Arabidopsis thaliana: one gene and its partner. The protein of the gene in region 1 interacts with the protein of each later gene in a biochemical or structural test. Each region holds a gene or a part of one and is shown on either strand. Other genes may lie near its edges.

Evidence for each region.
Region 2: the proteins of MLP423 (region 1) and AT3G11630 form a complex in vitro, tested with the Arabidopsis thaliana proteins (one large-scale study listed by BioGRID).

Annotation. Positions count from the first base shown.
Region 1 is NC_003070.9:8,500,124-8,503,876, forward strand, and holds MLP423 (MLP-like protein 423), read right to left. Parts: upstream 1,943-3,753; 5' UTR 1,776-1,942; intron 1,420-1,775; exon of another isoform or gene 1,358-1,419; 5' UTR 1,336-1,357; coding exon 1,149-1,335; intron 811-1,148; coding exon 530-810; 3' UTR 277-529; downstream 1-276. Other genes in the region: AT1G24030 (Protein kinase superfamily protein), read left to right, coding at 3,271-3,379, 3,479-3,666.
Region 2 is NC_003074.8:3,670,460-3,674,212, forward strand, and holds AT3G11630 (Thioredoxin superfamily protein), read left to right. Parts: upstream 1-1,576; 5' UTR 1,577-1,729; coding exon 1,730-1,936; intron 1,937-2,319; coding exon 2,320-2,394; intron 2,395-2,555; coding exon 2,556-2,637; intron 2,638-2,732; coding exon 2,733-2,812; intron 2,813-2,936; coding exon 2,937-3,062; intron 3,063-3,156; coding exon 3,157-3,270; intron 3,271-3,361; coding exon 3,362-3,478; 3' UTR 3,479-3,700; downstream 3,701-3,753. Other genes in the region: AT3G11620 (alpha/beta-Hydrolases superfamily protein), read right to left, coding at 50-132, 230-289, 419-469, 576-626, 737-765, 889-960, 1,042-1,115, 1,205-1,275. UniProt on the Arabidopsis thaliana protein: Thiol-specific peroxidase that catalyzes the reduction of hydrogen peroxide and organic hydroperoxides to water and alcohols, respectively. Plays a role in cell protection against oxidative stress by detoxifying peroxides.

The sequences.
Region 1 (3,753 bases):
CATAATGTTTTAATTAGCGGTTCACTATCTTTCGCCAGATCCGTCACTATTTCGCAAATTTCATGTCAAACAGAATTGATACAAGATCTTGAGCTTCCTTCACCAAATTGATTCTCTGAGTCCAAGTTGCAAAGCAATAAATAACGTCGTTGCAAGTTGCTCATTGCATGGCAAGTCTCAATTGATCGGAATGTCCTTCTTTAAATATGGTTCGGTTTGGCTCCAACTCGATCGTCAAACTCAAACTACATTAATATGACTCTTCATTTGTTTGTCTTTTAATTTATTTTTTTATCTACCAACCAATCCGGTCCAAGAGCCAAATAATTACTCTACCACAAGGTTCGATTTTTTCAAAATGTTCGACTAAATTGGCTTTTGTAAAAAGCTTATGGCCTACTAGGCTGCATAAACTCCGAAATCATAAAACGTGGATATTCATAAAGGGGTTCCACTTTATTCAACTTCTTAATTAGAAAAATCTTATAGAGACGGTCGAACCCTCTTATATAATTTAAAGGTTCTAGTGTTAGGCACTAGTTTGCTTAAGAAGATACTCATCTATCTCTTTGAAGTTCTTGACAGCAAAGTCCTTGATGACATGTGGATCATCGATCTCATGGGCGGTCTTCTCAAACTCACCAGACCATTTCAGAAGGCTACCACCATCCTTAGGGATAACGGTGATGGTTCCTTTGAAGGTTTTGTAGTACTCCAACATTTCTCCGCCAATGATGCTGTACGACATGCTTTTGTTCTCCAAATCCACTGCTTCGATCCTCTCCGCCGATATCTTCACCAGTGGAGATCCTATATTACGGTAAAGAGTAGAAACAATGAGCATTTTTTAAATAAAGATATGGTGAGAGAGTGAAATATAGTCAATGAAGACATAGATCATTTAGGGTTTATAATGAGTTATTGACCATTAAGTAACATGAATTATTTATTATTATCTTTAATACATACAAGTCTTCCTATCTAGAACCACACTTGTTTTTTTTTTTGAAAGATGTCTTCATGAATGTAGTACTCAATCTTGAATGCGACAAGATTTATGCTAATTACTTAATTAGCCATTTAGGTATTTATTCGAAACATGATTTATTAATTATGGTTACAAATTAAAGACAAAATGAGAAATGTACCTTCTCCATAAGTAATGAGGCGAATGGAGCCAGGAGCGTTGCCATCGCCGGCTAGAACTTGGATGGTTTTGTAGTCGTTAGGGAAAGCTTTGGGGAAGAGATTGATGCCGTCGCCAAGGGCTACCCAGAACTTTTCAGCCGGAGACTTAACCTCAACCTCCACATGAAGAACACCACTCAACCCCATTTGTTTCTAATTAAAAAAAAAACTCAATTATTTTGTATGTCTTTGAATGATTTGTTTGTATAACTTGTCAATGAACGTGTCTATATATAGAGAGGTTTTAAAGCCTTTAGTGATATGATAAATTGCATTAACTATGTGGAGCAACTCATCCAACTAATTTTTCATCCTATGGGTCCTTTTTAAAATTAACCTAAAGCTTATACATTTGCCATTCTTCATTGCTATCTCACCCACTCAAAGAGGTGGATGAATCAATAAATCGATGCATGGTATAACATTCAGTACAAAGAAATTAAAACTGGTTTTGTACTGCTTTAAAACAAAATTGTCGGTGATAAATGTTGAAAAACATATAGTATTGAGAGTCTATCGGCCAAAAAAAAAAAAAAAAAAAATCTAGATATTTTTCATATATTCATACACGTTATTTTTATGGCTACACTCATCTACATATATATTTTTCTTATTATGGATTTAAATTTTTAGGAAACAAAATTATTTCAACTTTTCATGATTATATCTACCCTTTTTAACACTTGATTAATTGGTTTCTCTTCTTTCAAGGTTTTTAGATCAAAGTTTCAATTGTTTGATTTATTTGAAAAACTATTTATCATAGAGAGTGTTTATGGCCTAGAGATAAACTAATCCCTTGTTCGTATTTCTTCAGATCGATTTTGTGAGATTACCATTTTTTCAGATCACTTACTTGGTTCTTTGTTGAACAATGGTAATGTCACACAATCGATCTGAAGAACCAAGTAAGTGAAGTAGCATATTTTACATAATTGGTTCTCATTTACGACCTCTCATAATAACTGTGGGCCAATATGTGAAACATGATGAGATTTAAATGGTTATAAATAATGTATTATCATTGATCAAAAATAAATCAGTAAACGTTCACGTCACACAATTAGTCAAACATAACAACTTAATAATTGCAAATTGCATTTCATAAGAATAAAACTTTCTAATCATAAAGAGCTGAATGTTTCCTCTTTATTTTCTACAATAATCTTCTTGGTGGCACTGGCATGGTTAGGTGCAATGCAATAAAGCCAAAACAATTTCTTCATCGTTAGGTACTTTGATTTCACCATTGTGCGAGAAAACAGCATGTTGGTTTCCATTGATATAAAACGACAACCACTCTTCAATCGTAAAATAAAAATGTTCTAAGAATGAGTCATCATTTCTATTCGAAGCAAAAGTTCATCCGAACCCAAATCCTTAATATACAATTGGATACGTTAAAGTTACAGTATCCTAGGATTTGTCAATCTTATTAAAAAAAACTAAGATTGCTTTAAGAAAATTATAGGTTTTCTCCACTTATAAAGTTTAACTTTTATAATCTCTCTCTCAACGAACTATGAAAACAACATTAGTAAATAGTAATATAGAAGTCTAGAGAAAAAAGTTGAGACGAAAAGGGTAAGGAAACACTCTGAAAGCAGCTTCCCATCTCTATTTGATCGACAGAGATACGTACGTACACAAACTGGTTAGAAGGAGATAGATTCAGACAAGAGAACCAAACCGAGAATTTGAGCTTAGAAAAGTTAAGGAAACATCAAGTCTTTACTTTCTCAAGATGGCTCTCAATTTCTTTTGCTTCACGTACATGTAATCTACGTATTCTTCAGCTCTACCGTCTCTTTCTCTCTCTCTTGAACTTTCGGTAGTTGAAATACTGCTGTTGAGTATTTCAGAAACCTAACCCTCAAAATCAATTAACTTTATTGCACTCTATATTTATCATCTTCAACCACAACAATCTTCTGTTTCTTTGGAAGCAACTAACTACAAAGAACATCTTCACGACTAGAAAGACACATACCCTTCTGTCTTAAGGACGAGACCAGAAGCTTCTTCTATCGGCTTTGTAATGGTCTACAAAGGATAAGAAAAAACCAAATCCAAACTAAAGCTATGCATTTTCCACTTGTTTCGGCTTGGAACAAGAGAAGGAGAAGCAAATCATATGATACGGATCCATGTACGTTCCTTTTCTCCATCATCTTCGCCAGATGGCATAAAAGTATGTTACTGTTTTTGTTTTTCGACATTACTACTACTGAATATAAAGGGTTTAGGTAAAACTGAATCACCATCTGTTTGAAACTAACCTTCTTCTCAGGGGTCTACAGAACAGCAGAATGCTGGCAAATCGAAGATCAGGCTTCTCAGCCAAGGAAGCGAAGATTCGGGTCATCAGTTTATACCCTCAAGGAGATGGAGGAGGCCACAAGTTCTTTCAGTGATGAGAATCTCCTCGGTAAAGGAGGCTTTGGCCGAGTTTACCAAGGCACTTTAAAAACAGGAGAGGTAGGAACTATATAGCTTCATTTATGTGATTTACAGGCTTTGTAATGTTACAAAAACTTTTCTATCGAAGAGGAGCTATTAGAGTAG
Region 2 (3,753 bases), on another chromosome or scaffold:
CTGATTGGTTCTTTCCTATCGAGGATTCGTATTGAGAACAAAAGCTCACGCTGCAAGTTTGCCAATTAATGATTGCTTTGTTGATTGTTGGTTCAAAGTCAAAAATGGATATAGGCCAATGCAATATACCACCTGCAAAGCATTCCAGAGAATAATATAAGAAAAATCACATAGCACTGAAAGAAATTGTGATGGAGAAAGTACTACTCTTAGAGGAAGCCATCTATACCTTGTCCGAGAATTTCTTCAATAACTCAAGGGATATATAAGACCCAATAGAATGCCCAACCTACCAAGATCAATTAAGCTTAGAGTTGTAAATTTTCATGAAAATCTGGAAATCCATCCAACTAATGGACATATATATTTTGGTCATAAGAAGCAATATGTCAATGGCTTATACACATGACAGTCTTACCAATATTATTGGAACTTTCACACTCTCCAACTCCTGTCTGATAAAATCAATCTGTATGATAACTAACAGATTAAGATCTTAACTTCACAGGATGAACAATACAAGAACCTAAAGGCTTTCAAATCCAAGAGCAATGAAGAAAAATGATTTTTATTACCTTATGATCAATTTGTTCTTGAAATGAAAATAGCCTCCCAGACTCCCAGTCCTAAAAGTGAAAATAATCAAGTATCATGAAAGCCTATCAAACTAAGATATTATATGAAGAGAACCATCAAAGTTTACACACAGTAAAACCTGAAACCAAAGTTAACGTACCTTGCTCGTGTGAGATATTTGCCCAATAGCTACACAAATAAAACAAACCACTCCACCATTAGAGATCAGAAGAACAAACTCAAACTCAGAAATAAACAGCTTCCATCTTAAGGACTCAAAGAAATCAAACTCGAAAAGTAGAGCAGCCATACCAATTACAGAAGCATTTCCACCAAGAAACTCGTATAAAGATTCCAAAAAGTCCTTGTAAAATGACACAACTCCTGAAAAATTACAAGCCAATGTATGAAGCACACTAGTATATACACGTGCATGCATAAGAGTCTTGAGCATAATAATGAAACCTGGATTTCCCGGAATAAACAATACATGGAATGTGGGATTCTCAGCTTGAATTTCCATCATCTCCGTCATCGAACTTTGATCACAAATACAAAAAACAAAACAAAAAGTGTAACTATAGTCAAAGAAATTAGAAAATTTCGTAAAAGATTAATGTAACAATACCCAGAAACTCTGCACAATCTGGATTTAACATGTCTTTTAGTTTCATTCATCAATTTGTTTTGAGTCTCCATGTCTCCGGTCACGCGATTCAACTTATATCTTCTCTCAGAACTGTCAACACTTGAAAGGAGAAGATCGAGAGAATTAATGAGACAACAGAGAAACCACTAAAAATCAAAACTTTGCAAAATAAGTGAAGAAGCCTTTTAAAGTAAACCAAGTGAAGAGAGCACAACAATGCACCTGAAACAACAGGAGTAGATTAGATACTTTGGAGAACTGAACCACCGATCGGAGGAAGAAAGTAACGGAGAGACGGAGTTACCCAAGGTAGAAGAAGAAGACGCATATTTGCAGCAATAGTAATACGACCTCGTTTTGAGTAACGCGACGTCGTTTTATGAGTTTGGGTGTCGTCAGGCTTATCTCCACCTCATACTTCCACTACAAAGAGAGGTGATTGACAGATAGATAAGAGTGTTTGGTAGCTCAGACTCAGAGAGTCACAAAGTGTGTGTAGCAGCAATGGCGTCTGTTGCTTCTTCAACTACTCTCATCTCTTCTCCCTCTTCTAGGGTTTTTCCAGCAAAGTCTTCACTTTCCTCTCCATCTGTTTCTTTCCTTCGAACCCTTTCTTCTCCTTCCGCATCTGCTTCTCTCCGCTCCGGATTTGCTCGACGCTCTTCCCTCAGCTCCACTTCTCGTCGGAGCTTTGCTGTCAAAGCCCAGGCCGTAAGTTTATCTAAATGTCGATACTTTTCTTATTCGATGTCATTGAAATCTGAATTCATTAGCCTGTTATAGATTTCACTCTCTTCCTACTTGTTAGCCCTATAGGTTTTGGGGAAATAGTTAACGATTTATAGGTTATGCGACCGTGTTTCTGCAGATTACTCGAAAAGTTCAGAAATTTGAGTGACATTTTCGTTTAGGGTTGTTAATTTCTCTGGTGAAGTGAAATTGAGTGACATATGAGCTATACTCATTGACTGATTAGTATGTTCGGATGAGGTCTATGTAGTTTTGGTATAGTACCATGGTTATCTGATTGTCAATTTGACTGATCTTTCTCCTTAGATTTGATGTGTTAACGAGTTTTAATTTGGTGATTATAGGATGATCTTCCACTGGTTGGAAACAAGGCGCCTGATTTTGAGGCAGAGGCTGTGTTTGATCAAGAGTTCATCAAGGTACTTACAGCAGTTATCAATCACAGTTGCTGCTTCTAGTTAATCTGAGATTAAGTTTAGTTTTGAAGCTGAATGAGTAGTCTTTAGTGTTTTTTATTTAGTGAGTATATGTCTTATTGTGATTGGAAACTAATTGGTAACTGATGAATGTATGGTTTCAGGTTAAGCTCTCTGATTACATTGGAAAGAAGTATGTGATTCTCTTTTTCTACCCATTGGACTTTACTTTCGTCTGCCCAACAGGTTAGCATTGCTCGAGAAGTATATCAAAATTGAATATCCAAGGTTCCCTCATCCTTGAGTCCTAATCTTTCTCATTTTTTCCTTATGTCTTTTAGAGATTACTGCCTTCAGTGACCGGCATTCAGAATTTGAGAAGTTGAACACCGAAGTATTAGGTGTTTCTGTCGATAGTGTGGTAAGTATCACTATACATTTACTATGTTCTCATTTTACTCAGTTCCTCATCCTTGGTTGACATCACCATGTTCTTATCTGTTTGCAAATTTTTGATTCATTCTTATTTCTGTGTGTCCTCGTAGTTCTCTCACCTTGCATGGGTCCAAACAGACAGGAAATCTGGAGGGCTTGGTGATCTGAACTATCCCCTTATTTCAGATGTCACTAAATCAATCTCAAAGTCGTTCGGAGTGCTCATCCATGATCAGGTAATTGTTAGCCTTTAAATCTTGGCTACCTTCCTTTAAACTTTCGAAGTGTTTGGGATAAATGAAAACAAGAACTTTGTTTGTGTAAGAACAGGGAATAGCACTGAGAGGACTTTTCATAATCGACAAGGAAGGAGTGATCCAACATTCCACCATCAACAATCTTGGTATTGGCCGAAGCGTTGATGAGACAATGAGAACCCTCCAGGTAAAGATACAAATAAATACACACAACTCCAAAAACCGCTCTTTCCTTTCACTCGATTTCCGGTATGCTTAATACGTTTTCAATGTTGCAGGCATTACAGTACATCCAGGAAAACCCGGATGAAGTCTGCCCAGCAGGATGGAAGCCGGGTGAGAAGTCAATGAAACCCGACCCAAAACTCAGCAAAGAGTACTTCTCAGCTATTTAGAAACTCTACTATGATAGCAAAAAGGTACAATCTTTGTTATATGTGAGCAGAGTTTTTTTTCTTGTACGCTAAAACAATCCTTTGTTTGATTCTCACTTTGTCCCCAAAATTATAATAAAAAACTTTTTCCGTTAATGGAAGTCTTATTGTGTTACGCCTACAAATTCATATTCAGTTGATCACTTACCTAAGCATGTACACTGTACATATTAATGGTAAAAATCAAGACCATTTTGTGATCTTCTTTGATAGCACAGAGAAGCCATTGTTCTACC